2 linked regions of the Notamacropus eugenii genome follow. The protein of the gene in region 2 interacts with the protein of the main gene of each other region in a pairwise test. Links are inferred from orthologs where the notes say so. Each region holds a gene or a part of one and is shown on either strand. Other genes may lie near its edges.

Region 1 (7,628 bases), on a different chromosome or scaffold from region 2:
CCATAGAACAGGCGACTCATCAGCGGGTCCCCTGGGGGCTGAGGAGTTGGTGGGGCAGGGGGTAGGGGAGATACTGAAGGTGGTGGTGGGGGCTGAGGTTCTGCTGCTTCCTCTTCCTGCAGCCCTGAGCCTCCGGCCCCAACTTCCTCAGGTGGTGAGGGGGAGGTTACAGAGTAGTGGCTTCTAAGGGAGCTCACCATCCTGCCTCCATCCCCAGCTTCCTCTACAGCAGCCCCTATCCTCCCTTCTTCGGCCTTCAGTGTAGGCAACAGCAACTTCTGATCTCCAGAGTCTGAAGGTGCTGTCTTCTGCCCTTCAGCCTCCGATCTCCCAGGGCTCCATTCTCGAGCCTTCCCAGAGTTCAGTCTCCATTTCCTTACTTCTAACTGTCTAGAACTCTTCTCTACATCCTCTCCTGAATTCAACCTCATTTCTGCTGCCTCCATTACCCCTGGGCTTCGTTCTCGAAACTCACCAGGACTTAACCTACATCTTTGTGTCTCTAAAAGTCCTGAGTTCTCCCTGGATTTCCTCTGCATTAGTCTCTGTTCTGTCCCCGATTCCCCTGATCTCCCTTTGCTTTCTTCTCCTGGGTTGATCCTCCATTCTCGAGCCTCCAACGGCTCTGGACTCTGTTCCAAGACTTCTCTGGAATTCATCCTCCATTTGTGTATCTCTGTCATCCCCAGCCTCAGTTCTCCACGCTCTCCACGGTCTCCTGAGCTCAGTCTACATTCTCCCATTTCAGATGCCCCAGAGGTCTGTTCTTGAGGTTCTGCTGGATTCACATTTCGTTTTCGAGCTTCCCCAGGGCTTTTCTTCCATTTCCGTGACTCTGAAAGGCTGGAGCTCCTCTCCTCAGTCTCCCTTGGGCTCAATCTCCATTCCAAGGCCTCTGCAGGCCTAAGGCTTTGCTCTGGAACTTCTGCTACCCCCAGCTTCCTATCTCCAGACTCCCCCAGGCTCAGCCTCTGCTCTCTTGACTCTTTTCCCACCAGACTCTGTTCCTGAGCCTCTGCCATGCTGGGTCTCTGCTCTCGGGCTTCCCCTCTCCCTGAAATGTGTCCTCGACCCTCAGGTGGCCTCCGATCAGTGAGCTGCTCTTCCACACCTTGCTGCTGCTGCTGCTTTAGCTCTTGGCGTTCTTGGCGGATGAAGCGATTCTGGTGGACAGGTCCAATGGCCTCTAGAAGGACCACAGGCTCATCGAGTTCAGGAGGTGCTGCATCTGTAGCCTCATTCCCAGGACCTGGTTCCCCCACTGGCACTCCTAGCTTGGCACGGCGTCGCTCCAATAGTCCCCGTTTCCAAGCTGGCATCTGGGCCAGTCGATCCTTCTCAGCCTGCTCCCGGCCTCGAACAGCAGCCTCTTCTTGTCTTCGCCTGGCTAGTAGTTGTAACTTCCAATCTGGGACAGTAGCCATGGTCCCAGTGGGGCAAGAGAACTGGAGGGGAGGAGATGGAGCAACGTCAGGGAGAAGAAAGAAGTAAGAGAACTGGAGAATGAAAGTACTGGTGGGGCAGAGGGAGAGGAAATGTGGCGGAGAGTTTGTGTGGGAAGACAAAGTAGAAGAAAGGAAGAGAGAATCCCCTGGAAAGAGGGAAAGACAGGAAGACTAGGAAAGGGAAGAGAACTGCTAGAAAAGAATGAAAAGAAAGGGAGAATCAGAAGAAATACTGAGGAACTGAACAGAAGAAAAGTAGGGGGAGGGAAGAGACTGAGTGATACAATGGAGGGGAAGAAAGCTGGGAGGGAGAAAGGGAGAAAAAAGCAAGATAGAATATTGGGGTATGGTGGAGGATGACAGAATATTTTAGATGAGAGAAGAGAAAAAAGAAGAGAAGACAGTTTGGAGAAGAACCAGGGGAAGGAACCAAGTGGGTGGCTAAAGGGGGAGATGTGGAGGTTAGGGGAACTCCTGACGTGGGGGGTGAAAAAGCGAAGCCATGGTGTTGGGGGGAGGGAGGATGGACACGGAAAAGGGGAGAGGTAAGGGTGCACCAAAGGGATAGGGGAAAGGGTAAGAAGGGGATAAGGAGAGAGGGGAGGAGGGAACTGTGCAGCAGACCTGCCAGTCACAGCGTGGGCCCTAGCGGACTCTAGCTTCCCCTCCAACCTCTCACCAGCCACGCCCCTCCAGTCCCGGGCCACCCCCTCCTCCCCCCACCGGGCCTACGCACCCCGCCTCTTGGGGCGGGTCTGGGAAAAGACAGTACCCGGGGACTTTTGGAAACCAGGCGGCCGAGCACCCAACCCCTTCTCAGAACCCAGATGTCCACTCCTCCCCCTCGCCCATAGCCCTCCTCCCAGTCCGGGGACCCAGATAACCAGCTCTGGTCTGTCCAGCCCTCTTCACCTCAGTTAGGCACCTAGGTGTCCTCCCCCGTCGCCCTCCAGAGTCCCCTGTCACTCTGACCCTGGGAGCGAGATGTTGCGGTCCCTAGCCTCTCTCGCACTCTACTCCTACTCGCTACACAAAGAAAATCTCCCAGGCAGAAGAAAGAGTGGAGGGGAAAAGGGTGGCGGCCGAAGGTGATGAGGGTGGGGACATCTATCCTCGGAGTCTGAACCCCCCCTCCCAACTCACGTACTGGCAGGGTCCCACGGGGGAGGGAGGGGGTTCGAGGTCGAGAAAGCGTCTGGAGAGGGAGAGAAGGAAGAGAAAGAAAGGGAGCGAGGCAGAGTTGGAGATGGGAGGGAGGGAGGGAGGAAGGAGGGAAGGAGGAGGAGAGATAGACCCAAACCAAGGGGGGCCGGGCTGGGGGCGGCGACCGCTTTGTCTGAGGACAATGGGGAGAGAGAAGGGGGCGAGAGGCGGAACTGGCTTCAAGGGGCGGGGCCTCCCGCCCCCAGGACCCCCTAGCTGGCTCTTCTCTGGAAAGCACTCCCAGACGCGCAACCCCCAAGCTCACCGCTCTCATTCCTCTCTGGGACCCAAGTATCCTGATCCTCAACCTCCAGCTGCCTCACTCTCCTTCGGCCGTTCTGCCCTGCGGGACCCAGGTGTCCTTTGCACTCAACTTCTCCCGGGACTCTCCACCCCCCACCCCCAATCTTTCCTCCCTCCTCTTTCCCCCTCCCAAAGCCCCGGTCCAGGGCGGTGGCCCGTGACTCAGGCCCCTAGGGGGGCCCAGGGAGGAAGCAGCAGCTGCTGGGAGCCGTCCTGCCCAGCCCATCTCCCGCCCTCCTCCCTTCTTAGCTCCCAGAGCTTTATTTTTGTAGGGTCGCTGGTCAAGACTGCCGGGTTGGGAGTGGGGACTGAAAGTGATTGGGGGTAGGGGTGGAGCGGGTCTAAGATCAAAGTCGGCGGGATGGGTGGAGACTCCTGCATGCTTGGCTTTGATTTGGTTAGGGACTGGGCTTCCACCTTTCAAATCAGCGGTCTACTCAACCCTGAGATCATCCAGGTGTTGGCAGGCGGGATTGCTAGCGGAAGAAGTAACTATGCCCCCTTCCTGAAGGTGGGAGACTGGGGCATCCTCAAAATGATAGAAGGCAGGACCTTGAGGAATGGCCGAAGCATAGTGGCCACTGGAGGGAACAGTAGCTGTAGTTACTGCAAGCATTTGCTTTCTTTCCACCCGTCATCCCCACCCCCTACTTTGTAGCTGCTGAGACAGTTGGTCTTAGGCCTATCACTCTACTCTGCCCCTCCCTGTTTCAATTCTCCCTTCCATTCTCTAAGGATCCGGAACCAGCTAACTGTCCAGACCAGAGATAAACACTTGTGACCTTAAGAGGCACGTAAAGAAGACATAATATTTGGATTTATTGGCCAGCTTCTTACATGTTCTTTGGGAAACATGAAGGCACTGAGGTGGGGAGTGAAGAGGTTCTTTCCCCGTCCTCCCAACATTTGCTTCAAGGACATAGAGCCTAAGTGGTGAGGGAGAAATTTTAAAAGGAACCTCAAGGACGCTGAGGGAAAGGCTGGACAATGGGGGATAGAGAACTAAGGAAAGGTACTTCAGTCTGGAGGCTGGAAAACAATTCTGTTCTGGGGTAGGTGAAGATATAAAGGAAAAGGAGGGGTCCCTGAGAATGGGGCTGGGGATCAGTGATAGTAGACTGATCAGGGCCAACCTCTTCCCCTAGGATTTGGAGAGGAAAATAGGCAGAAAGAGGTCTCTAGTTGGGGACAAGCCCAAAATCCTCATTCCTCCTTCAGTACCTCATCTCTCTTTCTAGATTGCATTGAGGGGTCCTTAGGTAGGGGAGTGGGATCCTGGATTAAGGGATACTAAATCTAGAATTTGAGTATGGGCTCCAAGTCAAGGAGCTAGCTGTATACCATATCTAGAGAACCCTGCTGAAGTTCACAGGGAGAGAAACTTGGAGTCTAGGAGGTAGAGCTGGGAATTCAAGAGAGACAGAGTTTGGGGGTGGGGGGGAGGCATCAAAGGACCTAGAAGCATACAGCCCCAAGCTTCAAGGGGTGGCCTCTCAAGTTAGAGTAGGTGTGGAAACCTCAGATTCTGGAGTGGAACTTGGAATCCAGAAGACAGATTCTCTAGGATAACTCTTAGATTTCAGGGAACAGAACTTTGAATGGGGAGTCAGGGCTTTAGAGTCTAGGGACAATAGTTTCATCCTAGGGACTAGATTTCACTTTCACTCAGCATCTACATCTTGGGGCCCAGCAAGTAACTGAAGCTTTCTTTGAAGCTGGGCACGGAGGTAGCGCAAGTCTTGCTGGTCTAGCCCATGTGCCAGGCCCAGGTAGAGGGTGAGCAGTGCAGCCAAGAGGATTCTGTCAAGGCCCAGTCGGGGCACAGCCCACAGCACTGTCAGGAGCTCCACACACACAGGATGTCTCAAGTGCTCAAAGAGTCTCAGTGCCCTAGGGGACTTCAGAGCCAATGGCTCCCCCAGCCCCAGCACATGGTAATATACCTATGGGAGAGGGATGGAAGGACATTAGATCAGAAATTGAATCATTATATCCCTTTGCCTCTAATTCTACTCCCTCAATTCCTTATAAAAGGCTGTCTCTGCTCATCTTCCAAGGTTACCTCTTCCATTTCTCCAAGGATATAAATCTAATCCTCCTTCAATCCTTGGGACTAAGGTCTCCCCTTTGAGCCTAACTCTTGGCTCTTGACTCTCCTACAAATCCATGGGAGCTACCATTTCTAGATTCTGGGGGAGGAGTATGAGATCATGGCTCCATGGTGGGGGGGAAAGAAAGGTAACTGGTAGACCGAGGTGAGGGTGGAGCAAAAACTTGTGAAGATTGGTTAGGGATGGGGAGATTGAAGGTGATTCAAGTCTTAGAAGAGATAAAGAATGATGTCCAAAGGTTAGAGGCCCAGGAACTGGAAATTACCTGTTTGAGGCCCATGAGTTCAGGATAGTCAAAAACCAAGAGGATACTAAAAATGAGAAGCCACGCTATGATGTGCATCACGAAGCAGAGAAGGGGTACCCAGGTCACCCAGGGCTCTGACTGTGCTTCCCAGAGAACTGGGCCCTCTGGCACTGGCTCCCAATAACGCATTATCACCTGAAAGAAACAGATAGGGGATAGCTAGATTCAACTCCCCTTGGAGATGTAATCATTTAATATGTTGAGGGGAGGCTCCCCCCTCACCTCCCACAATGCCACAATACACACACACACACACACACACACATCTCTAGCTCCCTGATGGCTTTTACTTCTAATAATTCATGCAGGGTGCTCCAAGACTGGTTTTCAAACCCTTATTAACAAACACAAATGTTTTTTGATGTCCACTATATGTAGGATGCCATGTTAGGTGACGGAATTACAAGCAAGTATTAGATCATGCTTTATTTATTTTTCTTAAGCCTCAGAAGTGGGGGGTAGATATCTCTCACTGCTACTCTAAAATCCTATCTGGATCTCAGACCTTGCAATCAATCAACAGCATTTATTAAGGGCCTACTACATGCCAGGCACAGGCAACAATGAAAGTCTCGTCCATGAGACTCCTATTCTATAGGAGTGAGAAGTACATATAAAATAAATACAAGGGGCTCAGGAAAGGTCTCATGTAGGAGATGTGCTTGAGCTGAGCTTCAAAGGAAAAAAAAGATTCTAGGAGGCATAGGGGAGGAAGCATGGGGTGGGGGTAGGTGGGAGGGGAAAGTTTGTGCAGAAGTCCAGAGATGGGAGGCAGAATTTTGTGTGTGGGGGGGGGTGGGGTGGGGGGGATTGGGAGTAAAAGAAAGACAGAGAGAGAAGGCCAGGCTAGACAGACATAAGCATATGAAGGACAACAATGTAAAATAAGAGTTGGAAAGGTAAGTTGGAACCAGACTGAGCAGGGGCTCTAAATGCTAAACAGGGAATTTCATATTTGATCCTAGAGGTAGTAGGGAACCACTGAAATTTATTGAGCAGGCTAGTCCTGTACTCTAGGAATATCACTGGCACAGTGTGGAAGCACACAGGAGAGAATAAATGTTTTAGCATATTTATAAGATGTATGATCACTGCCCTAGAGGAGCTTACAATTTGGTTACAATATGTATCTAGAGATAAATAATAAAGCAACATATAATTATCAGGCATATATATATCATATGTGATAAAGGTCTATGGCAATATGTCATATTAGAAAAAGGACCTCAAAAGAGGGAGGAGATCAACAATAAAACTATGGTCATTGGTAAAGACTTCTTTGAGGAACTAGGAGATGAAGATCAGGCCTTAAAGGCATATGCAGGTTTTGGAAAAGAGAGGAGGTGGTAGGCATTCCAAGCAGGGGGGAATGGGGAGGAAAAAAGAAGGGGGTATGTTTGGGAAACAATGGGCCTACTCAGTCTACAGTAGGGAAGTAGTGGGAGCTGCAGTTAGAGAGTTTAGTGATTAGAATGTGCAGAGGTTTGAATGCTTCCAGCTCATTCTCTGTTAATTCTCAGTTTACTCAGGAACCCAGGCATCTGGCACCCTCATCCCCAGGCTTTCCTTTCCCCAGACCCTACTTCTCTTGGGGACCTAGCTGTCTAGTCCCCATACCTGCAGGGCCAGGGCAGTGCAGGCCACATAGAGTGACCTCTGTAGGACCCCAAAGCGCTGGGCCATCCATGTCTTCACAGGCTCTGTTGCCATAAGACTGTGCTGCCCCATGAATAACAGCACCAGTCCCAGGTCCTGGGCTAGAGCTGCCAAGATGCCAGGGTCCTGTAGGGCAGTCAGCCATTCCTGTCGAGAATCTTAGGATGGGGGGAGACAGGATATCAAAAGGACAGGGAAAGATCACCGTTATTCTAAATATCTCCTTTGAATCTCAGGCCATGTCCCCTAATTCCTGATGTCACTCAGAGAACCTGTCTAGACCATGCCCCTATTACTCTCCATTCCCCATGATGTGGCTTTACTTCCCATCTCCAGCAATTCCCTTAGGGCTAATATATAGAAAAGGAGTTTTAAGTGATGCTGGCTGAACCTTTCAGAAAGAAGTTGACTGAGAAGAGGATTTGGGAGTTTCTGAGAAGTCTTTTAGATCAAGAGGTTGTTAGTGCCCAGAGGCTTGAAAAACCCCAACCCAAACCTATTCACTTCTGCTCCACCTGTGAGGAAAAAGAAGTCAAACCTAGGAGTTAGGAGAGACTTGAGTTCAAATTATGCCTCTGATGCTTACTAGCTTTGTGACCATAC
Region 2 (7,905 bases):
GAGGGACCCAGGGTGTTTCTTACATTTTTTTTATAGTGACCAACAGACCAAAAATTTTCTGAAGACTCTCCTGACTCTACCTTTAGCTACAAAATGCATTTTACTTCCTCCTAGATAACAAAGGGGTGGGAGAGGGGAAAAACAAAACTAACAAAGTAGGAGAACATGAGGGAGTAATCAGGCCACCATGGGTTAATGACAGCAACAGAAAAATAAAGCAGGAGGTCATCCCCAAACCCAGAGAAGTCTTGGGGGCATGCAGAGCTGGGAAAGCAAGCCAGTGAGAGGGGACCTCGGCACTGTCTCACCTTCCGCTTGTCCAATGTGGGTAGCGCTACCCCATTGGAACGGTTAAGGTCGGACACCAGCACCTTCAGAATGTCCTGAATCTACAAGAGGCGAAAAGGGAGAAACAAAAAGGGAAGAAGAGAGAAAGAGAGGTGGCTTAGAGGGAGGAGATAAGAGTTGGGAAGAGTGGAAGGGACAGGCTTAAGGAAATGGGGGTAAGGATGGGAACTGAAGGTGGCTAAGGTAAGGACCCAATCCATAGACAGCGGTTGGGGATAGCCTTCCTAACATCTACTTTTGGCCTTGTTTGGGCAAGGCCATGTTAACATAATCCAGAAAAGCTGGAGAGAAGTTCACAGAATCATAAAATCCTAAAACAATAAAGCTAGAAGTGCCATCTAAGAATACTTAGTTTATCTCTTTTACTTCTTTTAAACAGGTTCAGAGGAGTGAAGTGACTTGCACAAGTCATGCAGTGAGTAGCAGAAATGAGACAAGAATCTAGATTTCTTGATTTCCAATTTCCAGGTCTTTTTCTATTATATGACTTCACTCCCACCATGACTTTGCTAGTATGTCTTAAAGGGAAGGGCAGGTGGCTTGGTGCCGTTTTCATTTGTAACGCTTCTTCTGGGGATAGGGGAAAACTGTCAGCTGAGTCAGGTCACCCCTTTTTCTCCATCTTTCCAAGGGAGTGTTTCTAATTAAGACTCACATCCTCAGGAGAGTGTCGGTCGCCAGATGGAGGAGTCTCGGGGTTATTCCCATCTTTCGTTTTCCTTTTTTTCTTGGCTCCTGCTGGGGTACCAGGGCTGGTCTTCTGTTGATACTCCTTCAACTTTGGAGAGGAAAAGGTTAGGGTTGGAAATGGCAAGGGTCATGATCCAGGGTCCAGGACAGTGCAAATTATACAATGAGGTGGGCTCAAGAAGAAAGCATGTCAAACAGCTAGGTTTGGATTCCAACTTTGCCCAAAGGCTCTCTAGGTGCTGAGAAATGATTCACAGCTCAGATGCTCAGTTTCCTTAATAAGTCATACTTCCAAAGTGCTTTAAAGTTTACAAGGCATGTTCCTCAGAACTAGTTGGTAAAAGGGGAAATGACTTGCCCAGATAATTAAGTGTGAGAACCCGGACTCAGCCTCAGGTGTCCCAACTTTAAGTCCTTTGCTAACCTCTCAAAACTAACTTCTCTCCCAACCCTAACAGAATTCCTCTCATTTTAAGTCCTCTCCATTCCTCCAATAGGTGAGCATATATTATCCCAGAGGGCAATGAATGAAAAGGATTGTGGTTCCAGAAATTTAGGTAATAAGAGGGTGTGGTGGAAAGTTGAAAGAAAAAACCATGGACCTTTCAAAAGAGTTAGAATCTGGGCAGAAACAATCCTCTCATTCACTTTTCCAGCATGTTTTGAATCTTTGAGAACATAAGAATCAAGGAACTAGATAAATTTAGGATCTTACTAGCCATCGTTATCATCAATGTTAAGTCTCTGAATGTACACAGTGATGCAGTCACTCCACGTCTTTGGAACTCTTTTGAAAGTGTTCTCAAGGGGCTCAAGAACCTCCTCAGTTAGTCATTTAAAAAATCCCGTCCATTTCCCAGGCCAGAAGGTTCTAATGACAACTTGGGAAGGGGGATGGTGGCCCAACCTCATTCCAAGTCCTCCCCACGAGTTACTCCGAGAGAAACAATTATCCACTCCCCTATAATATTACCCTATATGTGGTCCTTCCACACACACCTTTCCCTACCCCACCTGCGCACCCCCCCCCCTCCGTCCCTAACTCTGGGTCTGAGGCAAAGGGAGTCCGATGCTGGGGGTTGGGCAGGGTGCAGAACAGGCTGGAAGAGGTTTGGGAAGGGCTCCGAGGGAGGAAGTCCAGGACGGCGTCGGATTCCCACAGAGCGGGCGGGGCAGGCCTGGCTGCTGGCGTGCCCAAGCCTTCACCTTGGGGCCCCTCCTGGGGTATCTGGGTTTCGGTGGGAGAGGGGACGAGAGGCTCCAGGGGCCCCGAGACGAGCAGAGGGCATCTCCCTCCAGGCACCAGCTGTGAGAAGGGGGGAGGCCTTTCCGGGAGGCCAACAGCTGGGCCTGACGTCACGGGTCGGGCCCAGGGAAAGAGTGTCACGGGCCCAAAGTCACCAAGGGGGCTGCGGGGGAGGGGCGTGGGGCGCCAGGGATTTAGGGAAGTCTTGGAGGGCGCGGGGCTCGGGACCTGTGGGGTTCAGGAACGGGGACCTGCGGGACTGGGGACGAGGACCCTGAGGAGATCGAGGAGGAACACGAGAAGGTGGCCCTCAGACACCGGCGGGGGAGACCCGAGAAGAATCAGGAGGACGATCTAAGGGATCCGGAAGGGGGTCTGAGAGAAACGAGGAGAGCCTGGATCCGGGAGGGGGTCTGTCAGGGTCCTGGCGGCGGGAAAGGAGGGGGCGGAGCCGAGCCCCCGAGCGCAGGGGCCGTCTCAAGAGCATTTACCTTCTTTTTGGCCGCCGCCAATTTGCTCTGCCGGGTCTCGTCCGCCATCCCGGGCCGGGGAGGGGGAAGGCGGGGGGGGCCACATCACCGTGATCCCGGCAACCACCGCGGCATTCCATCCAGCAGCCACCGCGCCGCACCCGCTCCTCCCATAGGGAGGGCGAAGGGCGGGGTCGGACAGCGCCGCGCTTCCCAGCGTCTGCGCCTGCGCCGCGTCACCCGCCCCGCCCCTCTGTACTTGGCTACAGTCTGTCCTCTCGTCTCGCGGTCTGCTCACGACTGGCGCCGACGCTCCGGGCTCCTGGGGAGCCCGCTCGTCCTGGTTCGGGTGCGAGCCTCAGGCCCGCCGCCGCTCTTCTCCTCGGCAGCCCTGGAGCCCCGCGCGCTGCAGAGACCCTCGGGAGGGGAGCCCGGGACCCCGAGCCTCCGGAGGTGCGGAGGGGACGACACTCATCGTAGACCTCTCCCCCCCCAAGATCCTACACCCTCTTCGGAAACCCCCTGCTCTGGAGACCTCAGCCCCTTCCAGTGTGCCTAGCACGGTGCCTGGCTCTTAGCGGGCGCTTAATAGATGCTTGTTCTTCCCCCTCCCCCCATCATGAGCACCGTCATTCCTTCTAAAGACCCCACCCTCCCCAAAGATCCCACCCGCTTCAGAAACCCGTCTTAAGATGACGGCCCCTCCTTTAAGAGACGCCTTCAGTGAACACCATCAGACGCCTCCCCTCTGAAGAAACCAACGCACAGATCCAGCCCTGCCATTGGCACCTTCCCAGAGACCCTCAGCTCCGTTGGGACCTCTGCCCTTTAGGGTCTGCTCCACCTGTGCTTGGTCTCCATCCCTTCCGCAATGCCGTGTCCTGAACAGCCTGATTCAGTTTCCCTTTGCCCAGCCGTCCTCACCCCAGGGGGTCCCCAAGCTCTCAAGTAACCTTGTAGGTTCTCCGCTCTTCCCACCCCCCTGGGTCCCTAACCACTCCTCTTCCTTGGTTGCTTTCTAGGGCACGCCTGGGACTCTCCAAACGGCATTCGGCAGCTTTTCGATCCCCCGTGAGTATGCCACAAGCTCTGCTGCCTGTCCCTGCCCTGTGCCACACAGGCAGTGTCTTTCCCCAGCCTGCTGGACCTCCTCAGTTACAGCGCAGCACTCCATTCCTTGATCTCTGATTCCAGAGCAGACGTTTTCCTAGCACTTTACCCAAACCTTGCCTTTCCTATCCTACCTCATACCTCCAGTGTCTCCTTCCGCTTGTATCAGATTCATGCCGTCGTCGTAGGTGTTTAATAAATACCTGATGAATTGAATGACTTATCTGCCTCCTACTTGACTAAGGTGATCCAGGAAGGATATCTGATGTTATTTCATCCAGTATTCTCTACCTCGAAATATTTCTGCCTCTAGCTATGTTTTCTCACCCTCACCCCTCAGATGAAGTCCCACCCAAAGCTAACCTCCCCTTGTGTCTTCTGCTTTCTTTAGGCCTTTCCTCCATAATTTCTACAATCTTTTCCTCCCAACTGGTTGCTTCCCCTCTACCTTTAAGTACACGGATCTCCCCAATCTTGGGAGAGAGGGGAAAAACAAACAAAAAACTTTATTTGATCTACTGCCCCCACTAGTTACATCCCTCCACTTCTTTGCCAAGCCTACCTTCTGCCTTCGTTACCCACTTGCTCTTTAACCCTTGGCAGTCTTATTTCTTAGATGTCCAGTGACTTTTAATTGGCAAACCCAGTGGCCTTTTTTTATCCTTCATTCTCCTTTACCTACTTGCAAAAAATTGATACTGTTCTCTCCTGACTCCTTGGAACTCTCTCTTGCCTCTTCAAGTCACTACTATTCTGCTTTTTCAGCCACTTGAGTATTCGTTCCTCTGGCGCCTTTTCCGCATTTCCCTGTTCTTCTCTTTGTCTTTCTGTAGTTGATAACTTACTTTGTGGTTTTCAATTGTCATTTATTTTGCTGTTTGATCAGTACTTCTGTTGATGACTTTCAGATCCGTATCTGTCATTCTGAGCTTTCAGATGAGTTTTACATTTCCAACTGCCTCCTGGATATTTTTCCGTTTGGATGTCTTACTTTCATCTCACTAGATGCACTCAGTGCATCTAAAATGATCTGTGTCTCCTTGTCAAAATTGCCCCTTCCTCTTGACTTCACTGTTTCTTTTACCATTTTCCATGTTTGAGAAAACACAGAAGCATCTGTGATCCTTCGCTCTCCATCACCTCCATGTTTATCAGATCTTGTATATTCTTTGTAGTGTTTTTCCCACCTGTAGCTTTTCATCTCCATGGATACAACCCCAGTTCAGGCCTTTACCTGAATCTTACCTATGACCACTTCATTCATGAACTCTTGGCCTCCTCGCTCTTACCATTACCAGCCTTGCCTCCAACCATCATTCACACTGCCATTTCTAGGTTAATTCTGCCAAAACACATCATATTACCCTCTAGCTCAAAAACCTGTAGTAATGCCTAAATAACTAAAAGATCAGTTTGATACTTCTGAACCAGGTATATAAGACTTTCTACAATCTGACCTTGTTCTACCTTTCTAACCTCATTTCTAAATACTTCTTTTGCTCTGGTCATACTGGTCTTATTGTCCTTGCAAAATGCTAAGTTTATTCCCACCTCTGTAGCTATATTCACTCCACTCTGCCCTGCCCTTTCTTTCTATCTGAATCCTACTCATTTTTCTATTTAAAAAAAATTACATAACACCTTGATTTTGATGTAATTTCAATACAAGCTAGATTAGATTGTTATTTTTATTGATACATTTTTAAAAACCAAAATCATGGTGGCTAACATTTACTGGCCCCAGCTCATTCTCAAGTTATTCAGTATCTGATATATCCTTATATCCCATGATTTATCTCCAGGGATACTCTCCATGTATACCTTCTCGATGAAAAACCCTTATAATCCTTTTATCATAACCTATCATTCCATCTCTCCCTATGGCTTACTCCTCCTAAATCTCTTCTTCATCTGATAATGACCTCTAGACCATCCACTGGTCAGTACTTTCTCAACTTTGATCTTACAGTTAAACAGTTTGACTACTTTTGGCCCTCTGATTTTGATTTCCTTGCTCCCTTGTCCTGTTGACAATCATGCCTTGCCCAAAATTAACCATGTATTCTTCCACCACCTTCCCCTTTTACTCCTGCTTGTGCTGCTGAACAAAACTAGAGAATATCGTGCAACCACGGTGACTGGATGCATTACCACTTTATATTATCTAATCTTAATAGGGCCCTCCCTGTAGCAAAGCAATCCTTTTATTCCTCCCTAATTGATGCTCTCTGTCCCTCTTTGCACAGAGGCTGTTTCATTTTCTTTCCTCAAACCTCCCATACCTCCCCATCTTTCCCACCCTCTCAGCCAAGGAGTTCAACTATTTTTTCATATAGTTTTAATATTTTTATTTTTAAAAATTTTATTTATACAATAAAATTATATATATAATTATATTTATATATTTTAAAAAAATATTTTATATTGAATGTTGGAGGGGATGTGGGAAAACTGGGAATCTAATACACCGTTGGTGGAGTTGAGAACTTATCCAACCATTCTGGAGAGCAATTTGGAACTATGCCCAAAGGGCTATAAAACTATGCATACCCTTTGATATAGCAGTACCACTCCTAGGTCTATATCCTAAAGACATCCAACAAAAGGGAAAAGGAACTATTGGTATAAAATATTTATAGCAGCTCTTTTTGTGGTGGCTAAGAACTGGAAATCCAAGGGATGGATGCCCATCAATTGGGGAGTGGCTAAACAAGTTGTGGTATGTGATTGTAGTGGAATATTATTGTGCTATAAGAAAAGGAAGATTTCAGAAAATCCTGGAAGGATCTATATGAACTCATGCAGAATGAAGTGAGCAGAAGCAGGAGCACACTGTGCACAGTAACAGCAATATTGTTCAATGAAGAACTGTGAATGAGTTAGCTATTCTCCTCAGTACAATGATCTAAGACAATTTCAAAGGACTAATGATAAGCATACTATCCACCTCCAGAGAAAGGAACTGATATTGATTGAATGCAGACTGAAGCATGCTATTTTTCACTTTCTTTCATTTTATTTTATTTGAGTCTGCTTGTCCAAAATGACTAATATGGAAATGTTTTACATAATTGTACATGTATAGCCTAAATCTGATTGCTTACCACCTCAGGAAGGGGAAGGACGGACAGAATTTGGAACTCAGAACTTTAAATAAAATGTTAAAAAATTAGAAAAACATTCATTTTTTAAAATTTTGAGTTCCTAGTTCTCTCCCTCCCCCCCTTATCCATTGAGAAGGCAAGCAATATTGTATTAATTATACATGTGAATTCATGTAAAACATAGCCTTGTTGCAAAAAAAAACCCAAAAAATGAAAAAAGTATGCTTCAGTTTGCATTCAGAGTTCATCAGTTCTCTCTGGAGGTGGATAGCATTTTTCTTTGAGAGTTTTTTGGAATTGTCTTGGATCATTGTATTTTAGGGTAGCTAAGTCTTTCACAGTTGAATGTCATTATAATATTGCTGTTACTATGTACCATGTTCTCCTAGTTCTGCTCACTTCACTTTGCATCAGCTCACATGAGTCTTCTCAGGTTTTTCTGAAACCATCACCTTCATAATTTCTTGTAGCACAATGGTATTCCATCATAATCATATGTCACAGCTTGTTTAGCCATTCCCTAACTGATAGGCATCCCATCGATTTCCAATTCTTTGCCACCACAAAATAAGCTTCTGTAAATAGCTTCATACATGTAAGTGCTTTTCCTTTTCCTTTGATCTCTTTGGGATATAGACCTAGTAGTAGTTTTGCTGGGTCAAAGGGTATACGCAGTTTTATAGGACTCTAAGACGTAGTTCCAAATTTTTTTCTTTGCTGGATCTTCATCCTGGTTTCCCTCCATCAACTGAGTATACACCAGGGCTTTGTCTTGTGCTATTTTCTTTCTTTTCTACATTCTCTCACCTGGCTAAATTGACAAGTCTATTCTCCCATGGGTTAAATTGAGAAGTCTATGCAGGTGATCTCCAGATCTATATATTCAGCTCTAGTCTCTCTCCTGAGCTGAAGTTTTGTATCACTAACCTCTGCTGTA

What was found. The genes of interacting proteins can lie anywhere in the genome.
Region 1: the proteins of GOLGA2 (region 2) and PPP1R18 interact in binary tests that used the Homo sapiens proteins (3 or more experiments, as listed by UniProt). The two-hybrid records come from large-scale screens. The link is inferred for Notamacropus eugenii from reciprocal best matches to the Homo sapiens genes GOLGA2 and PPP1R18.

What each region holds. Positions count from the first base shown.
Region 1 is NC_092873.1:84,556,628-84,564,255, forward strand, and holds the start of PPP1R18 (phostensin), read right to left. Parts: upstream 3,006-7,628; 5' UTR 2,923-3,005; coding exon 2,914-2,922; intron 2,675-2,913; exon of another isoform or gene 2,589-2,674; intron 2,377-2,588; exon of another isoform or gene 2,358-2,376; intron 1,446-2,357; coding exon 1-1,445. Other genes in the region: NRM (nurim), read right to left, coding at 4,613-4,894, 5,328-5,504, 6,987-7,183.
Region 2 is NC_092872.1:479,583,273-479,591,177, forward strand, and holds the start of GOLGA2 (golgin subfamily A member 2), read right to left. Parts: upstream 3,002-7,905; 5' UTR 2,824-3,001; coding exon 2,776-2,823; intron 1,127-2,775; coding exon 1,004-1,126; intron 390-1,003; coding exon 309-389; intron 1-308. UniProt on the Homo sapiens protein: Peripheral membrane component of the cis-Golgi stack that acts as a membrane skeleton that maintains the structure of the Golgi apparatus, and as a vesicle thether that facilitates vesicle fusion to the Golgi membrane.